Linked DNA regions of Lonchura striata. Each later gene encodes a partner of the first gene's protein in a complex. Links are inferred from orthologs where the notes say so. Each region holds a gene or a part of one and is shown on either strand. Other genes may lie near its edges.

Region 1 (9,516 bases):
CATTAATTAACAAATTAGCTCATCAAGAGGCTCCCTAATTTGTCGAATATAAAGCTGCCCTATTAATTAAACAAGAGGACAGGTTTTAATTTGCCAGAGCTCACATTTAATTGATAAATGACTCGTTTAAATCCTTCGTGGTGGAATTTTCCAGGAGACGAGCACGTGGGGTCCTCGGAGCAAGGAGGGATTTGGGATCTCAAATATCCCAATCACCTCTCTCTTAATTGACCCCTCCACTAATTGGGTCTGCTTACATCCAGCCTCTCATTCCTCCTCCCCTAAATCCCATTAGCTCCCTGTTTTCCACAGGGGGAATTTTTTGCAGCTGTGCCAGGGATTTGCTGGGTTGGGATGTGCCAGGGTGAGGGTGAGGGATACCCCCAGGGCATCCAAATTCCAGGTGGGATATCCAGGGAAATGCTTTCATTTTAATCAGTTTTTAGTTTTAATTCCCTTGGGGATTATGGCTCCTTGAAGGCAGCTTCTGCTGGCGTTGGAAGCAGCTGGAATTCCATGGCCAGAATTAATTCCTGCACTGGAATGCCAAGGATCAATCAGAGCTCTCCTGACACTCCAGTGATTTCCACACAGAATTAATTCCTTGGACATCCTCTCCCCAGCCAGATGTGCCAGGGAAGCCACATCCAGAGTATCCCAAATTCCTTTTTCCCAACCTGTTTTTCCCCCAATAAGTTTTAAGGGAGTGTGTGTGAATTATGTGAAGTCCTGCCTGAATTTTCAATTTATCCCTATTGATTTCTAAGGTATTCCCAATGTCTGAATCCTTCTGGGAGCTCCATTCTCCATCAGCTGGGAGCAGTTCTGGGGATTTTCTGCGTCCACTCCAGGCCATGGATATCAGAGATTCCCTCTGCACTTTTTATGGAATAAAAATCAGGAATTCATTCGTGTTAGTGAATCTGGCTTCCATCAACAGCCCCCTCTGGATGGATCCCTACATTTCTGGATCTGTTTAACTAATTCTGAGACAACAGCTGGATTTTGGGACTGGGCTCCTGTGTGGGAAAGGCTTGTATCCAGCACGGGGCTGAGCTCTGGATTATTGGGATCAATGATCCAGATCCATTCAGGGAAGATGCTGTGGGCAACCCCAATGAGGGTCCAGGTACCCCCACATCTCCCTGGCACCACCAAGCAACTCCCTCATTTCAGAAACAATCCCAGCCTGGCAAAGGCTCAGGAATAAAACGTATTTTGCTGTTATTTTTACAAATTCCAGGGCAATTGGAGCCTAGGGAACCTGCACCAAGGCCACCCCCCCACAGCCAAGAAAACCCCAAAAAAGGCATGGATTGCTCAGAGCTGGCAGAAATTTGAACCTTCCCACCCGGAGCTGGGCAGTTCCTGGGCCCATCCCAGTGATGGGAAGCAGGATGGGGCCATTGGAAAAGTCAGCTTCAAAAATACATGTCCCAGCAAGGCTCTGCTCCATGGAATGCTGAGTTCCCAGATGTTGATTGCAAGGAAAACTGGGTTTATTAATTAAAAAAACCATAAATGAGGCAGGTTTCCTTATGGATGTTTGGGAATTTGAAGGAATCTATTGTTATTAAGACAAATCCAGCTGGTGCCTTAAAGGATTGGGAGTTTCCTGAGGGGTTTTATCAGGCAGATCCCACTGATTTTATTGCTGGGAGATTTCAGGAATGCTCCCCTCTATCCACGTTTGGTGTCTTCACTCGGCACACCAGCAGCAGGAAAAGCACATCCAGAGGACTTTAGGATGATGCTGAAGGAGTTCAGGGTGAAAGATGAGCCTGAATTTGGCTCCAGCAGTTCCCAGCACAAGGAATTGAATCCTGTCAGCATCTCCCATTTTCCAGTGGGATGTGCAGCATCCAGACCTGGAGCCCTTTAGGCATTTTAATAGAATCTCTTATTTTTTAAATGGAATTTCTTATTCCAAGGCCAGGTTGGATGGGACTTGGAGCAGCCTGGTCTGTGGAAGATGTCCCTGTCCGTGGCAGGTAATGGAATGGGATGAGTTTAAGGTTTTTCCAAACCCAGCCACTCCAGGATTCGATGCCACCTCTGCTCGTAAATCCCTGGGCAGGTGACATCCTGTCTGTCACCTGCTCAGGGGCTCCAAGGCAACAACAGAGTGTCCATGCCTGGCAATTCCTCATCCCTGCTCCAGCAGGAATTGGAAATCATGGAGAAATCTCCTGAAGTGGCACTTCCATCACTCCTGGGGAGCAGGATGGGGATGGGAGGGGGTGGCTGATGCCACAGATGAGGAATCCATGGAACAGGGCCCAGCCGTGTCCCGGGAATGTTCCCATCAATCCTCCTCTGCCAAGGGTGGGCTTTGGGAGCCGAGACCTCGGAATTGTCCCCTGGCACAGCTCTGAGGGAAGCACGTGGAAAATTGGGGGGAATGATCCGAGACTGGAGGCAAACAGAGGCTCTGCGAGGGTATCTGGGGGTGTGGAGATCCCTGAGCTGCCCATCCCAGGGGTGGGATCAGGGATATGGTGCCAGCCCCGGGAGCACAGCGGGGTTTGGTCCCAGCCCCGCCGTGTTTCTGGGGCTATTTATAAGCTCGAGTTGCACAAGGTTGGGACTGGGGTTTTTGGTGTTGTTTTGTTTTTTTTTGCCGCGGTTGTATCAAATCAGCGAAAAAAGGGAACGGGAGCCGTCTCTTGGACATCCTGTCTGTGGCTTCTTTCTTTGGGCAGGGAGTTCGCGCTTGGATCGGGAGGCAGTGACGGGATGCGGAGGTCGGAGCGCGGCGGGTGTGGAGCCAGGGATGAGATGAGCTCCCTGCGGGAAAGGCAGGGCAGGCTTGTCCCTGGGCATAAACCCAGCTCTAAAGCCCGGCACTGGGAGCTGGGATACGCAGCGGGATCCTCCCGTCTTGTCCTCGTAGCTGAGCCCAGCTCCTTTCCCAGCCATTTATCCCCACGGCTCTGCCCGGGGCGAGGGAAAGTGCTGCTGGGTGCCGGAGAAAGCTCCCCTGGAGAGGGAAAACTTCCTCCAGCTTCTTCCCCACTGACTGCGACATCTGTTTCGGGATGAATCAGGCGGGTTCCCAGCGCCTGTGTGGGAGGGAAGAAGGGCGAGAGCTGGAGGGGTCGGACCTGCCGGGCTCCGGCCGTGTATCCCGGTCCCATCCGCGCATCCCGGCTCCATCCGCGTATCCCGGCTCCACCCGCGCATCGCATTCCATCCGCACAATCCGGCTCCACCCGCACATCCCGACCCCATCCGCGCATCCCGACCCCATCCGCTCATCCCGGTCCCACCCGCGCATCCCGACCCCATCCGCGCATCCCGGCTCGGCAGGGAGCTGCTCCAGGGCGTTTAATTAGCCCGAATCAATGTAGAGCTTTAATTGCTTTGCTCGGTGTGGGTGGCACTCGGCGCTTGCCAAGGAAGGACATGACAGCTGCCAAAGGCTGCGCGGCCGCGGCGCCTGGAATTGCCGCTCCCGGCGCTGCTCCCGTGCGGATCCTGCCCCAGCGGCAGCCCCGGGAGCGGGAGCGGGGATTTCTCCTTCCCCGCAGGGCTTTGCTGAGCGCCCTGGAGGGAAAAAAACCCAACCCGCAAACGCTCGGGATGGGAAATCCTATCCCGAGTCAGCACCTTTCACCCTGCTAAACGCAGGGGTCAGGGTGAGAGCAGCATCCTGCATCCTGCCGGGCCTGGGCAGTGCCGGGTGCCTGGGGGGTTGGTTTTGGGGGGCTGCAGAGCTCGGCCTTGCTGGGATCACCGGGATTGAGCCAGGTCATCCCCCGGAGCTGCCGGGATTTCGGTCATTGCTCGATGTCCCGGGGTCAGGCCTTGGCAAGGCCACGTGCAGGAGCATCCATAGCTGAGCATTCCCAGCCCCAGCAGGCCCTGGGGTGGTTTTGGGAAGTCCAAAAACTCCCACCAGGTCCCGGCTGGTGCCACCCAGAGCTGCCTGGGCTGAGCATCTCTTGGTGGCACCGTTTAACTCCAGACACACAAAAGGAAATCCCATCAGTTCGCAATGGATTTTCTCCCTTGCTGGCTGGATTCAGGATGTTTTTTGCCCCTGTCTTTACAGCTGAGGATAATTAATTAGCCTTAATTAGTATCCTGTGGTAGATGAACTTCCTTTCTGCTGGGCAGAGGGTTGGAATGTCTGGTGGCAAACTCAGGGCGGTGATTTTGGGGTGTCCCAGTGGGGGAAAATCCTGCTCCTTTTCCAGGCTGGAGGAGGGTGAGGGGGCACCAGTGCCAAAAGTTCTTGTGTTTCCTTGTGCTGCCTTTGCTCCCAAGCCCTGCACTGGCTCTTATCCCGCTGGGATGGGTGCTGGGACTGGGATGGGTGCTGGGACTGGGATGGATGCTGGGATTGGGATGGGTGCTGGGATTGGGATGGGTGCTGGGATTGGGATGGGTGCTGGGACTGGGATGGGTGCTGGGATTGGGATGGGTGCTGGGATTGGGATGGGTGCTGGGACTGGGATGGATGCTGGGATTGGGATGGATGCTGGGACTGGGATGGATGCTGGGACTGGGATGGATGCTGGGATTGGGATGGATGCTGGGACTGGGATGGATGCTGGGACTGGGATGGGTGCTGGGACTGGGATGGATGCTGGGACTGGGATGGGTGCTGGGACTGGGATGGGTGCCGGGATTGGGATGGATTCTGGGACTGGGATGGGTGCTGGGACTGGGATGGGTGCCGGGATTGGGATGGATGCTGGGACTGGGATGGATGCTGGGACTGGGATGGATGCTGGGACTGGGATGGATGCTGGGACTGGGATGGGTGCTGGGACTGGGATGGGTGCTGGGACTGGCATGGGTGCTGGGACTGGGATGGGTGCTGGGACTGGCATGGGTGCTGGGACTGGGATGGATGCTGGGACTGGCATGGGTGCTGGGACTAGTGTGGTTGAGGCTTGGGAGCGCGGGAGCTGCGTGGGGAGGGAAGGAATTTTCCCGGTGCCACATCCAGCCTGGGGTTATCCAAACCTCCTGCTCTGTGTGGGTGGAGGCTGCGCTGCTCAGTGCTCCCAGTCTGGGGGGCTGCCCCAAAATCCTCTTGTTTGTCCCCCTGAATCCCATCCCTGCATCCAGCCTTTCCCATCCCTCCTCCCCAGGGGACTCTGGAGCTTCTCCCAGCCCCTCCGTGGCCCCCGAAGAACTTTTCTTGCAGGTGTTAAAGGGTGACAGAGCTGCCACCACTGAGCCTCTGCGGGCTGGGGGGGCTGCCTGGAAGCATCTGCAGCATCCTGGTGGTAATGAAATCCATCGGGAAAAGCAGCCCCTGAGCAGCAGGAACGGCGTTTGGGAGCCAGATTTGCCTGAAGGGAAGTGACTCAACGTCTTGGAAGGATTTGGGGGCGGTGTGGGGAGCAGAGGACAGCGGCTGCCCCAGGCTGGGGACAGCACCGCGGCGGGGGCTGGCAGCCACCTGCCTCCCCTTGGGCTCCGGGCTGGAGCAGCATCCCCGCGGAGCGCTCCGGGCTCCGTTATCCCTCCGTGGGACGGTGCGCTCCGGCCCGGGGGGCGGCACAGGAAAGGAGGCCCCTCGGGAAGCGTTTGTTGCTTCCTCACGCTGGCTTGTGATCCAGGCCAGCGTTCCCAGCTCCCGGCGTCACACCCTCTCCCAGCTGTTGCTCGCCGAGCATCGCGCTGCCAAGAAAACCTTGGTGATGGACGCAACTCCCTCCCCGCTGCCTTAAAAGCGGCGGGGAGCGGCACCGTGCCTGTGTGTGTCCCGGCACGCCGGGATCCGCCTGGGAATGGGATCCTGCCGGCACCCCGGGCACCCCGAGCCCGTCCCGCCCGGCACGGAGCAGCGGGACAGCGTTGGCACCGTGCGAGGTACGGACAGGTCACTCGGTGGGGGGACACTGCGGGAGCAGATGGCGCAGGACGAGGTGGCAGAGCGATGGGGCAGATCCAGGCCGTGCCACTCCCCATCCGTTCTTCTCATGGGTTTTATCATTTTGGGCGGCGTTTCCCACTCTCCTGGCACACCGCTCCTCTGCACCCCGCTGGGGATGTGCCACCAGTGTGGAATATCGCGGGGCTCCTGGCACACAGGGACACCGGGGAGCCGGTCACGAGTCCCCAGCCTGGCTCCACAGGGGATTGGCACATCCCTGCCCACTTCTCCACGGCTTTCTGGGGCTTCTCCTTTCCCCGCAGCAGCCCCAGGAACCGGCACATCAGCATTTTTCTAGCCCTGATTCAGCTCAGGGACACAGAGTTGCGACACAGAGTTGTGCAAAGGCGGCAGCGCCTCCGATTCCTCTTTTTCGGCTCTCACGGGAGCTCCTCCACGTAGGACGGGGTCAATGTCCCCACGTCACGGGACGTGGTGGCCTTTAGCTCCCTCCCACCTGCCACCACTCCCTGCGGGCATCACCCCCTGTCCCCTGGTCACACCTGGGTGGGGCTTTTCCAGCTCTGAGGGAACTGGGATTTATTCCCTGTGCGTGGCAGAAGCCAAGAGCTGGATAACTCATGGATCTCGTTGAGGGAGAGCAGGTGGGAGCTCTGGTGGAAGGTGATGCTCTTTCACAGCACGGTGCAGCTTTTGCTCCAGCTGTTTTGCATCTCCCTCTGGCTCAGATGTCCTGGCTCAGGGCAGGGATTTGGTCCTGCACCGTGGATGCCACTGGTGATTTGCAGCTCCTGGCTGGCACAGGGTTGAGGTCAGGGTGGTGAGGGACAGCCCTTGGCTGGGGACGCTCTCTTTGGGGGTACAAACCAGGCCAGGCTGATGTCCTCACATGGGATGAACAGCTGGGAATGGACAGGACTCGTGAGCAGCTTCTCTTCTTCCCTGCACCCCAGGAATGGCTTTGGGTTCCCCGTCTCCTGCGGGTGTGAGCCAGGAGCATCCCAGCATGGATTTGGGGTGCCTGGGGAGCAGGGATGAAAGGCAGCCGAGGGGACCCTTTGGCTGTGCTCACAATGAGGGATACCCAAACCTTTCCCAAAGGCTCCCAGGAGATTCCCAAGCCACTGTGGGCAGCACAGGAGCCGTGGTGGACGGGACATGTCACCGCTGCCACATCCCCTTCTGTGTCCGGCTAAACTCCGCAGATTCAACATCCTCCCCCAGAGCTTCCCCCTTCCCCTTCCAGCTCTGCTGAGGCCAGCAGCTGGTTTGTTCCACGGGCTGCCTTTATTTTCCTCATCCTCCCATCCCATGTGCTTCTCCTCGGGATGAGACAGCTCGGCAATATCCGTGTCAGCTCCAGCTGGATGCCAAAGCCACAAGCCCGGGGTCATTCCCATGCCAGCCCTAACGGGGCTGGAGGAGAAGCAGAGATGTCTAATCCAGCTTCTGAATGCTGAAAATTCCTTGGGGATTTATCCAGCTCAGGTAAACACCCCTGGATTTACATATATTCGTTAATTTATATGTTTTGTAGGGATTTGGGAGGAAGGGTTTGCTGGAGATTTGCAACCACTTGAGTTTTTTTTTGCTCCCTTGTTGTTCTACAGTGGGTTTGGGATCTCTGGGATCCCCACTGTCCTTCACCACAAAGCCCCTAATTTTCCCTACAACCCCAGCCTCTTTTGGAGCTGGGCTTTGCAGCCTGGGGGGTGGCAAAACAGCACGGAAGGGAGAGGAGCTGGCAGAGAATTTGGGGGGGTTGATGTCCTGACAGTGTGGCAGTGTCCCCTTGCTGGGGACAGGGAGAACAGGGTGGCTTTTCTTTGCCGTGCTGATCAGCATTCAGCTGGGGACACGGAGCACAGCTGGGAGGATGCTCCCACGGATCCGGGGTGACTGAGCCTGCTGTCCCCTGCTGTGCCACATCCCCTGCGGGGTCACGTCCCCCCCGCAGCCCTATTTCCGTTTGCTTGGGTTTCTGTCCCTTTGTGCGCCCCAAATGCAGAGTGACGTCCCCAAGGTTTTGTCCCCTGACAAAGCCCAAGCCGTGGTGAGGGACGGCATCACTGCACTGCTGGGGTGTAGCAGGGAGGATGCTCTGGAAAAGGGAGGTTTTTTTTGTCTTTTTATTGCCTGAGAAGTGCCAGGAGAAAACCTTGGATTATTAGAAGAGAGCAGAGGAGATGAAAGAACTTTTATTATCTTGGAAGTTGAGTCATTTTAAGAAGCTCAGAAGTACAGACTGCCCTTTTTCAAGGAAATCTTTGCCTGTGTAGGTGAAAACACCCGAATTTTCCCCCTTTAATCCTCGAACCTTTCCAAGAGCAGAATGGATGGAGCAAAAGGCCGGGATTTTACGAACAGCGTGGCTCTTTCAACACTTGGTGCTAGGGAAGGCCGGGTTCCTCTGCTGGAGTTTCACCCTGGGAGGGGTCTTTCCTAACCCAAATTTTGAGATTAAACCCCTTTTCCTGGCAGGACTGGAGCGCTTTCCCCCATGGGGGTGACCCCACACTGTGGCCGGGAGGATCCGTGGGATCCATCCCATCCTATCCCGACCTGACCCGCTCAGCCCGGCCGGCTCTGCCCAGATAAACACTGACTCATGTTTTTCTGTCCCACCCTGGGCACAGCAGCTTTTTTAAGGCTGCCTTTTCCAGCTATTCCCTTTTTCCTGCGCCGTTCACACGGATGGGGTGCAGGGAGAGGCTGGGGATGCCGGAGGCTGCCGGGTGTGGGGGTCCCGGATCCGTGATGCAGAACTGGGATGTGCCTGAGTGGATGCAGGTAGGGATTAAGTTTCCCACTGCTCTTGGAGCAGAGCTCTGTGCCTCAGTTTCCCCCGTGGCTGTGCCTCATCTTTTTGCCCTGGGGGTCTCCAGGTGCTGGGGGAGGTTTGGGAGAATTTCCAGCCCGGGATCCTCGCTGGCAGGAGCTCATTCTCAGCCTGCCGCTGCTGCTCCCGTGGCATCCCACATCCCTGTGCCCTTCCCAGCCTGCTGCAGCGGGGCACAGGGGTCAGGGGTGGTGGCAGGGCTGGAATCAGCCAGGAGCAGCTTTTGGGCACGGTTGGAGTTTGGGGGTTGGAGATCTGAACTCCCCCTCGATGGGCTGGTGGTGGATTTACAGCGAGGAATGGGGCTCCATCCCGGCTGTCCCGGGTGGGAGTGGGATGCTGAGCAGCCTCATCCCTGTGGCATCTGTCGCCATGGCAATCACCTGCCAAAACAAAGGGGGATTGGAGCTGGGTACCCAGAGCTGCTTTGCCTCGCTCCCTGAGATTCCTGGGAGCTGGATCCCTGCAGGGATGTCCCTGCTGTGTGCCAGAAACACGTGGGTGGCAGAGGGATCCATGGGGTGGCCTCGGGTGTGCCAGCTTGGGATGGGGTTTGCATCCTCCTTCCCTGGGGCATGAGATGCCATGGATTTTTAGGGATGCTCGGGATCGCAGGGTGGGGCTCGAGCTCATCCGGAGCTGTGAACCCCCACGGAACAGGGACCAGCGCCTGCCACCTGCCCCCAGGGACATCCCCAGGGACACCGGGGATTGAGGCAGGGTGGGGTCTGGTGCCAGCAGCTCCAGAGGGACGTGGAGGTCCTGTTTTACCCCGAGCCTTTCCCAAACATCTGCCGGCAGCTGCCCCTCTCCCGGGAAGCTG
Region 2 (9,808 bases), on another chromosome or scaffold:
TCGGGGCACGGCCAGGGCCGGCCCTCGCCCGCCCGCGCCGGGGGGGACCCGGGGGGCTGCTCGGCGCCCGGCTCCGCGGGGGGAGCGCCGGGGCACGGCTTGTGCCCCGCGTGGCTCTTCTGGTGGGCGACGAGGGCGAGCCAGAGCCCGAAGCTGTTCCCGCACTGGTTGCAGATGAAGGGCTTTTCCGGGGAGAGCACGGCTTCCGCCGGCCCCGGCTGCGCCCCCAGGGGCCCCAGCACGGGCGGGCCGGGGGCAAAGGGCGCGGCGGGCGCCTCGGGGGGCCGCAGCAGGGGCACCTTGGGGCAGAAGCCGTCGCCGCAGTGGGCGCAGGGGAAGGGGGGCTCACCCGGGGCCGGGGGGGGGAAGCCCTTCTCGGGGCACGGGAACAGCTCGGCGCCCTCGGGGAGCTTCGGGGCGGGCGGGAGCGGGGCAAACGGGGCGGGGTCCTGCGGGGCGGGCGCGGGGGGCAGCAGGGCGGGCGCGGCCCCGAAGGGCGCGGCGGGGGCCGGGCCGCGCGCGGGGCAGCGGCGCTGGCGGGGGATGTGCGTCTTCTGGTGGGCCTTGAGGGAAACCTTGTCCTTGAAGCACTTGTGGCACTGGGCGCAGGGGAAGGGGCGCAGGTCGGTGTGGGTGCTCTGGTGCGTGACCAGGTTGGTTTTCTGGGTGAAGCGCTTGCCGCACTGGGCGCAGGCGAAGGGCCGCTCACCTGTGTGCACCCGGTAGTGCGTCACCAGGTTGGTTTTCTGGTTGAAGCTGCGGCCGCACAGGAAGCAGGAGAAGGGCCGCTCGCCCGTGTGGATGCGCCGGTGCGTGATGAGGTTGGGCTTCTGCCGGAAGCTCTTCCCGCACTCGGGGCACACGAAGGGCGCGTCCTCGGGGCAGCCCCGCGCCGGCGCCCGCGCCCGCGCCTTGCCCTCCTCGGGGTGGGCGCCGTGGATGCGCTGGTGCGCCAGCAGGTTGGCTTTCTGCGAGAAGCTCTTGCCGCACTGGGCGCAGGGGAAGGGCCGCTCGCCCGTGTGCACGCGCCGGTGCGTCAGCAGGTTGGGCCGCTGGCTGAAGCTCTTGCCGCAGTCCCCGCAGCGGAACGGCTTCTCCCCGGTGTGGATGCGCTCGTGCGTCACCAGGCTCTGCTTCTGCCGGAAGCCCTTCCCGCACTGGCCGCAGCGGAAGGGGCCGGGGACGCCCCCCTGGGCCCCCCAGCAGCCGGCACGGGGGGCAGGGGGGTCCCGGGGGGGCTCGGGGCCGCGCTGCCCGCCGGGGAACCAGCGGCCGGAGCTGCCGCCCGCGGCCGGAAACAGCTCCAGGGAGCCGGCGCCAATCCCGGGCTTCTCCTCGGGTTCCACCTTGCTCACCCGCCCGGGCTCCACTGCACCGGAGAGATGCCGGTGTTATCCCGGCTCCCGGAGCACCCCAGGCTGTCCCGAGTGGGGAGGACCCGGGCCCAGCCGCCCCTTTCCTCGTGGGCCCCTCGCTCCTGAACCACGGGGACCTGGGACACCCCAAAGGGCCTCAGGTCCCCAAGCCTCTCCTGGCGCGTGACACTCCAAACCCTCCAGTTTGCGACACCCAGGTCCAAAATGGTCAAAATTGGCTCAGAATGGCAAAAACTAGTCTAAAATGGCCAAAAGTGGTTCTCAAAAGTAGCCCACAATAGCCACAAACTGGCTCAGAATTGCCATAAGCTGGTCATAAATGGCTGCGAGCTGGCACAGGAGGGCCCCAAAATGGCTGAAAACTGTCCCAAAATGGCTGAAAAAGGCCTTTAAACTGGTCCTAAGTGGCTCAGAACAGTCCCCAACTGGCTTCAAAAAGTTCTAAACTGGCTCAGGATGCCCCAGAAGGATCCCAGCCCATGTTCCCCCCGAGCCCCCCAGTCCCACGGATCTGGGCTCACCAGCGCAGGGGCTGCCCAGGGCCTTGGACTCCTCCGGGCCCGTCCGCGCGGCTCCGAACGGCTCCTCCGGCGGCTTCATCCCGAACAAACCCCCCGGCTTAAAGAAGCGGTACCCTGGGGGGACACGGGCACCGCCGTCGGCACCACTGGAGCACCGGGACTGCTCCCGGGAGAGCCGGGCTCGCCCCTCGAGAACCTGGCTCCAGGTGAGCCGGGACGAGGTGAGCCCCTCCTGGGCTCCCGCTTCTCCCCGCAGCCTCTCCCATCCCCGGGAATCCCCAGAACGCTTTCATCGTCCCAGTTCAAAGTCCCCACAAAAATGCACCGGGCTCTGTGCGGAGGATTCCAGCCCAGGGCGTCCCCCCTCACCTGTGCAGGGATCCGAGGGGATCTCGGCTCCGACGGCATCCAGCTGGGACCCGGCCCGCGGCGCCGGGCTCAGCCGGGAGTACGGCAGCAGATCCAGGGCGTGGGCGGGCTGGGGAGGGGGCAGCGGCTCAGAGGCGTTTTGGGGCCATTTGGGTCATTTTGGGAGGTCTGAGGACCTTTCCCTGGGTTTGGCCACAGGCCAAGGACAGGGATCATGCCCCTATTCCTCCACCCCAAATAGGAGATTCCTTGCTCCAGGATGGAACCCACTTCCCTGCTCCCCAAACCAGACCCCTGCTCCCCCAAATCACAACCCCACCCCCCCAAAACCAAATCACTGCTTCCCCAGCAGATCCCTGCTCCCCAAACAAGATCCTTGTTCCCCCAAAACAGATGCCCCACCCTGCTCCTCCAGACCGGACCCCTGACCCCCAAACCGGGTCCCTGCCCCCCCATGCCCACTGCCCACCCCCCAAACCAGCTCCTTGCCCGGCCAGGACCCGCACGAGGGAGGAACCTTTCCCGAAGAGCCAGTCCCGCTTTTCCGGGGACGCTGAACCCCCCAAGTCCCCCGTGCCCTCCCGCGTCCCTCCCGTGTCCCCAAACCCCGGGAGCCCGGCGGCGGCAGAACCGGGGGGTGCGGCCCCCCCGCGCCGCGGGACTTCCCGGTGCGCGGATTTCCCGGAAAAACTCTTGGGGGGCTCCAGGGGCCGAGGAAAAAACCATCGGAACCGGCCGCGGGGATCCCCCCGGGATCCCCCCACGCCCCGGGGCTGGCGGAGCGGGGCAGCCCCGGAGCTCCCCCGGGATCCCCGCGTACCTGGGGCGCTCCCCCCGCCGACATCGCCGCCCCGGGCCGCTCCCGGCTCCCCGGGCGCTCCTTCCCCGCCGCTCCCCGGCTCTTCCCGGCCGCTGCCCGGCCTCGGCCTGGTCTCCTTCCGCCTCCGAGTCCCTCAAATGGCCGCGGCGGGTCCTGGGAGAGCGGGAGAGCCGCGATGTGAGCGGGAGGGGACCGGGCCGGGAGGGCAGCGGGACCGGGCCGGGAGCGGCTCCGGCGGCCTCGGACCCCCGTCCTCCCCCGCCTCCCCCCGGAATTTGGGGTGCGGAAGGCGCCGAGCGGGGCCGGATCCGGCTGGGAACGGCGAGAGCTGGGGAGCGCTGGGAGTTGTAGTTCGGATGGGGCTGGGATGGGATGGGATGGGATGGGATGGGATGGGATGGGATGGGATGGGATGGGATGGGATGGGATGGGATGGGATGGGATGGGATGGGATGGGATGGGATGGGATGGGATGGGATGGGATGGGGCTGTAGATGGGATGGGGTGGATTCGATGGGATGGATTTGATGGGATGGATTTGATGGGATGGATTTGATGGGATGGATTCCATGGGAGCGAGCGGGAGCAGGAAATCGCCCCGGCACGGCATCAGCCCGTCCAGCCGGGAACGGCCCCGGGTGTCGGGAACAGCCCCGGCAGTTGGGAAAAGCCCCAGAATTTGGGAATAGCCCCGCTAGCAGGGAATAGCCCGGGAATTCGGGAATAGCCCCACGAGCTGGGAATAGCCCCGGAATTTGGGAATAGCCCCAGAATTTGGGAATAGCCCCGGTACAGCAGCACCTGGAGAACCGGGAATAGACCCGGGAGTTGGGAACAGCCCCAGGAGCTGGGAATAGCCCCGGGAGCCGGGAATAACCCCAGGATTTGGGAATAGTCCCGGTACAGGAGCGCCTGGAGAACCGGGCATAACCCCGGGAGCCGAAAACAGCCCCAGGAGCTGGGAATAGCCCCGGGAGCCGGGAATAGCCCCAGGATTTGGGAATAGCCCCGGTACAACAGCACCTGGAGAACCGGGAATAGCCCCGGGAGCCAGGAACAGTCCTGGAGTTTGGAATAGCCCCGGGAGCCGGGAACAGCCCCGGCACAGCCCCGCCTTGGAGGTCAGGAATAGCCCTGGGGCTCGGGAGGAGCCCTGGCGTGGAATCACCTCATCAGCCGGGAACGGCCCCGGGAGCCGGGAACAGCCCCGGGGCCACCGGGCCGGGCTCCCCCGGCGCTCGGGGATCCCGGCGCTCGGGAGCCCGGCTGTCCCCGGTGCCGGCCGTGCCGCCCCGGGGGGTTCGCGGTGAGCCCCGTGCGCCCCAGCACCGGCTCCTGCGGAAGCCCCGGACCCGCCGCCGCCACGGGGGTTCCCCCCTGGAGACTCCGACAGTTCCTGAGACCCCCCGGTCCCCCGGTCCCCCCGGTCCCCCGGCCACGTGCCCGCGCCCCGGGACCCTCCCGGGGAAACTCACGGGCGGCCGCTGCCCGGGCTCGGTGACGTCACGCGCGCGGTGACGTCACGCGCGCGGTGACGTCACGCGCGCGGTGACGTCACGGTGTCAGCCCGGCCCCGTCCGGCCGCGCCCCGTTCCGGGTCGGGGGGCGGGGCCCGGGCAGCGCCCCCTGGCGGCGCCGCGGGACAGCGCAGGCGCGAGGGGGTGGGAGGGGCCGGAGAGACCCCGCCCACCCAGCGTCCCCCAGTGTGCCTTGGTGCCCCCAGTACAGCCCCAGTGTCCTCCAGTGTTCCCACAGTGCTCCCCAGTGTCCCCCCAGTACAGCCCCAGTGCCCCCCAGTGTTCCTTGGTGTCCCCCAGTACAGCCCCAGTGCCCCCCAGTGTTCCTTGGTGTCCCCCAGTACAGCCCCAGTGTCCCCCCAGTGTGCCTTGGTGTCCCCCAGTACAGCCCCAGTGCCCTCCAGTGTTCCTTGGTGTCCCCCAGTACAGCCCCAGTGTCCCACAGTGTCCCCCAATACAGCCCCAGTGTCCCCCAGTGTTCCCAGTGCTCCCCAGTGTTCCCACAGTGCTCCCCAGTGTCCCCCCAGTACAGCCCCAGTGTCCCCCCAGTACAGCCCCAGTGCCCCCCTATGTCCCCCAGTACATCCCCAGTGCCCCACCGTGTCCCCCCAGTGTCCCCCAGTACAGCCCCAGTGCTCCCCAGTGTCCCGCTCCGGAGCGCATCCCGGGGAGCAGAGGTGATTCCCGGCTGTTCCGGGGGACCGGAGCCGTTCCCGGGGACCGGAGCCGTTCCCGGGGACCGGAGCCATTCCCGGGGATCGGAGCCATTCCCGGGGACTGCAGCCCGTTCCCGGGGATCTGAGCCCATTCCCGGGGGTCTGAGCCCATTCCCGGGGATTGCAGCCCGTTCCCGGGGATCTGAGCCCATTCCCGGGCTGTTCCCGGGGATTGCAGCCCGTTCCCGGGGACAGGAGCCCATTCCCGGGCTGTTCCCGGAGGATTGCAGCCCGTTCCCGGGGATCTGAGCCCATTCCCGGGGATTGCAGCCCGTTCCCGAGGACAGGAGCCCATTCCCGGGCTGTTCCCGGGGAACTGCAGCCCGTTCCCGGGGGTCTGAGCCCATTCCCGGGGAACTGCAGCCCGTTCCCGGGGGTCTGAGCCCATTCCCGGAGGATTGCAGCCCGTTCCCGGGGATCTGAGCCCATTCCCGGGCTGTTCCCGGGGAACTGCAGCCCGTTCCCGGGCCCGGCGCCGTTCGGGCTGCAGGGAGCTCCCGGTGCAGGTCTGCATTCCCGCAGCCCGTGACGCCGTTCCCGGGGTCTCTCCCGATCCCACGCCGGCCCCTCCTCCCGCGCCCCGCGGGGTGGGGGGGTCACCCGCGGGGCCGTCCCGGGGGCGGATTTGGGGGCAGATCCCAGGAAATGGGCTCGTGCCAGCCCGCGGCCCGCGGATCCGTGAGGCCGCTCCCGGCGGGATGAGGCTCCCGGTGTCCCTGTGGCTGCCGCTGGCCCTGGCGGCGGCGGCGGCGGCGGCGGCGGCGGCGGCGGCGGCGGCGGCGGCGGGGCAGTCCCCGCTCCAGCGGCGCGTGGTGCGGGACGTGCTGGAATATTTCCACGGGCGCAGCAACGTGCATTTCCTCTTCAAGGAGCGGGAGGTGGACGGGGTCACCGAGCGGGTGAGGGACGGCATTCGGCACCGGGAGCCGCCGCTCGGGCTCCGGGATGGCCACGGGAACGGGGCTCGGGCAGGGGCTGCGGTCCCGGGAGCGTGCGGAGGAAGGGGAGCAGCACTGGGATTGGCGTCGGGATCTCGGATTTGGGGCTCCGATGGCCGCGAGAACAGCGAGGGGTCAGGGTGGGTGTCCCGGAGGGAGCAGGGGAGCGGCGGGATTCGGGATTGGGGTTCGGGGTTCAGGAGCCGGGATGACCATGGCACTGGGGAGGGTGTTGGGGTGTCCCCGAAGGAACAGAGAGAGGGCTGGGAGGGGATTGGGGTGTCCCAGAGGCAATGGGAGATGGACAGGATCGTCGAGCAGGTGTGTTGGGATTTGGGATTTGGGGTTCAGGACTGGGATGCGGGATGGCCACAGGGATGGGGAGGGGGTCGGGTGTCCCAAAGGGAAGCGGCGGGTGCTGGGGTGTCCCGGGGTGCTCTGGGACCGGCCCTGCTGGCCGGGCTGAGCTCGGTTATTCATTAACAGATCCGAGCTGATCCCGGTGCCCCCAGAGCCGGGTCCACCCCGGGGTGCCCCTGGAAATGTCCCGGTCTGGGAAGGGCCAGGACTCCAGGGACCCCACTTGGGGCCACGTGCCCGTCCTGGAGCCACCCTGGGGTCATTCCTGGCAGGGATTTACCTGAGGCTTTCCAGGATTCAGGATCCCTCCCAGAGTTCAGGGTCCCTCCTGGGATTTGGGGTTCCTATGGGAGTTTTGGGGTCCTTCTCAGGGGCTGGCATCCGTGGGGTTCAGGGTCTCCCCCAGGATTTGGGGTTGCTCTCAGGGTGCTTGGGTCACTCCTGGGGTTCGGGGTCTCACCGGGGGCTGCATTCCCTGGGAATCTGGGGTTTGGGGGTCACTCTGGAGGTTGGGATCCCTCCGCAGGAGGATCCTTCGGGGACGTTCGTGCAGCTCCGCCTGGGCCTGGCACAGACGAGCTGCCGCAAGCGAGCGCCGCAGCGGCACTGCCGGGTGCTGGAGAACCGGGTGAGGGGCTGGGCACAGGGCTGGGTGCCCCTCCTCCCCTGGGCACAGGGCTGGGTGCCCCTCCTCCCCTGGGCACAGTCTGGGCTGTCCCTCTTCCCCTGGGCACAGGGCTGGGTATCCCTCCTCCCCTGGGGCACATGGGGTGTCCCTCCTCCCCTGGGGCACGTGGGGGGTGTCCCTTTTCCCTTGGGGCAACATCCCAGGGTGTTCCCATCTCCCTTGGGCACATCCTGGAGTGTTGTCCCCTCCCTCAGGACACTTTCCAAGCTGTCCCTCTCCCTTGGGCCACATCCCCACTCCCTTGGGGCCTATCCTGGAGTGTCCCCTTTCCATTGGGGCACATCCTGGGGTGTCCCCCCTCCCTTGGGGCACATCCTGGGGTGTCCCCTCTCCCTTGGGGCACACCCTATTCCCTCTATAGGGCCTCATCCCTGAATGTCCCCCATCCCTTGGGCTGATCCCTGGGTGTCCCCTCTCCCTTGGGCCCCATCCCAGGGGTCCCTCAGCCCCCCACAGACCCCCCGTCCCCCCACCACGCTGCTGAGGGTGCCAGGGTGGGCAGAGGGGACGGCGGTCAGTGCCAGAGGGTCCCCGGGGCTCCCGGGGGTGACACACACCGTGTCCCAGAGGAAGCCCACCTGCCTGGCCTGCTACAAGTTCGACACCAGCGATGTCCCCAAGGTGCTGGACAAGTACCACAACTGCGGCCCCAGCCACCACCTGGCGGTCAAGGTGAGTGCCCCCGGTGTCCCCGTGTCCCCCAGCATCCCACCGGTGCCAGCCCCTGCTGTGCCCGCAGGAGATCCGGCAGCGGGACGAGGCCGAGTGCCGGGCGGTGGAGGAGGCCGGCAGAGGGGTGGACGCGCCCTACCTGCCCGGAATGTTCGCCTTCTCCCGGGGGCTGCCAGCCTAGGTGGGTACGGGACAGCCCTGGGGACAGCCCGGGGTGGGGACGGGGACACGGGGATGCCAGCACGGCCGCCGCTCCTCGTCCCCTTTGCAGGCGCCCCGGCACCGACGGACGCTGCCACGGCGCTCCCGGCCTGCCCCGCTTGCCACCCCCAGCCCCGTGGGACCACGGAGGGTCCCGGACGTGTCCCCCGCTCCCGCCTGGCCCCGCTGCCCAGTAAACAGCGCTGCCTCCGCTCTCACGGCTCTGATTCCCGCCCGCGCCAGCCCCTGCTGTCCCCAGGGATGGGGGACACGGTGGGGGGGTGGCTCCCTGTCACCACCGCCTGTGTCACCTCTTGTCCTTCCCCGGGTGGGGAAAGACAGGAACGCGACGGGCTGAGCAGTGCGAGACCCCTGAGGCCGCAGGACAGAGGGACACTGGCGGGTGGGACACGTTTAATGCACAGAGGGACACTGGAGGGTGGGACACATTTAAGGACAGAGGGACACTGGAGGGTGGGACACGTTTAATGCACAGTGCCACCACGGCCCTGTCCCCGTGATGTCCCAAAGCCGAGGCCGGGTCCCCACGGCTCCTCTGGTGCTCCCTGGGGATCCCACGCTGGGCTGGGCTGGCTCTGGGGGTACCCTGGCTGCAGTCTGGGGGTCCCACAGCTCAGAGCAGGAAGGAGACAGGCTTCTGGTGGCTCTGGGGGTCTCACGGTGACAGTGTGGGCTCTGGGGGCTTTCCTGGATCCATTTCTGGGCCGGCATGGCTAAGAGAATGAAGTTGGGCAGGGGTGGCACTGAGGGGCTCCTAGACCTGATTTTGGGGTCTCACAGTTCAGAAGATGAAGGAGCTGGACTTGAGATGGCTCTGGGGGTATCTCAGCCTTGGTTTTGTGGTCCCACAGGCTGTGGTGGCTCTGGGGGCTCTCCATTCTCCATTTTCAGGGTCCCGTGGCTCATATGACAGTGGCTTTGGGCTGTGGTGGCTCTGGACGTTCTCCATTCCCGGTTTTCAGGGTCCTGTAGCTCAGATGATGGTGGCTTTGGGCTGGGTGGCTCGGGGGTTCTCCATTCCACATTTTCAGGGTTCTGTAGCTCAGATGAGGGTGGCTTTGGGCTGGGTGGCTCTGGGGGCTCTCCATTCCCCATTTTCAGGGTCCCATGGCTCAGATGAGGGTGGCTTTGGGCTGGGTGGCTCTGGGGGTTCTCCATTCCCCATTTTCAGGGTCCTGTGGCTCAGATGAGGGTGGCTTTGGGCTGGGTGGCTCTGGGGACTCTCCATTCCCTGTTTTCAGGGTTCTGTGGCTCAGATGAGGGTGGCTTTGGGCTGGGTGGCTCTGGGGGTTCTCCATTCCCCATTTTCAGGGTCCCGTGGCTCAGATGAGGGTGGCTTTGGGCTGGGTGGCTCTGGGGGTTCTCCATTCCCCGTTTTCAGGGTTCTATGACTCAGATGAGGGTGGCTTTGGGCTGGGTGGCTCTGGGGGCTCTCCATTCCCTGTTTTCAGGGTCCTGTAGCTCAGATGAGGGTGGCTTTGGGCTGGGTGGCTCTGGGGGTTCTCCATTCCCGGTTTTCAGGGTCCCGTGGCTCAGATGACAGTGGCTTTGGGTGTGGTGGCTCTGGGGGCTCTCCATTCCCCATTTTCAGGGTTCTGTGGCTCAGATG

What was found. The genes of interacting proteins can lie anywhere in the genome.
Region 2: the proteins of CMKLR1 (region 1) and RARRES2 are in contact, whole or in part, in a cryo-EM structure (PDB 8ZJG), measured with the Homo sapiens proteins. The link is inferred for Lonchura striata from reciprocal best matches to the Homo sapiens genes CMKLR1 and RARRES2. Residues at the interface, in NP_001135815.1 of Homo sapiens: Asp20, Tyr21, Leu22, Asp23, Ser24, Ile25, Val26, Val27, Leu28, Phe88, Leu92, His95, Tyr103, His104, Asn116, Leu119, Ile120, Met123, Arg178, Leu183, His184, Gly185, Lys186, Ser188, Cys189, Phe190, Asn191, Trp203, Thr205, His217; in NP_002880.1 of Homo sapiens: Leu34, Phe37, His38, Phe60, Thr75, Ser76, Cys77, Arg96, Leu111, Gly112, Arg113, Leu114, Val115, His116, Cys117, Pro118, Ile119, Thr133, Leu136, Arg137, Gln139, Arg140, His146, Ser147, Phe148, Tyr149, Phe150, Pro151, Gly152, Gln153.

Annotation. Positions count from the first base shown.
Region 1 is NC_134620.1:11,454,112-11,463,627, forward strand, and holds the start of CMKLR1 (chemerin-like receptor 1), read left to right. Parts: upstream 1-5,593; 5' UTR 5,594-5,829; intron 5,830-7,121; exon of another isoform or gene 7,122-7,342; intron 7,343-8,491; exon of another isoform or gene 8,492-8,644; intron 8,645-9,516. UniProt on the Homo sapiens protein: Receptor for the chemoattractant adipokine chemerin/RARRES2 and for the omega-3 fatty acid derived molecule resolvin E1.
Region 2 is NC_134603.1:156,737,976-156,747,783, reverse strand, and holds RARRES2 (retinoic acid receptor responder protein 2), read left to right. Parts: upstream 1-5,967; 5' UTR 5,968-6,017; coding exon 6,018-6,218; intron 6,219-7,143; coding exon 7,144-7,245; intron 7,246-7,872; coding exon 7,873-7,977; intron 7,978-8,044; coding exon 8,045-8,158; intron 8,159-8,248; 3' UTR 8,249-8,391; downstream 8,392-9,808. Other genes in the region: uncharacterized protein LOC116183190, read right to left, coding at 1-1,369, 1,898-2,011, 2,267-2,375, 2,696-2,722. UniProt on the Homo sapiens protein: Adipocyte-secreted protein (adipokine) that regulates adipogenesis, metabolism and inflammation through activation of the chemokine-like receptor 1 (CMKLR1). Also acts as a ligand for CMKLR2.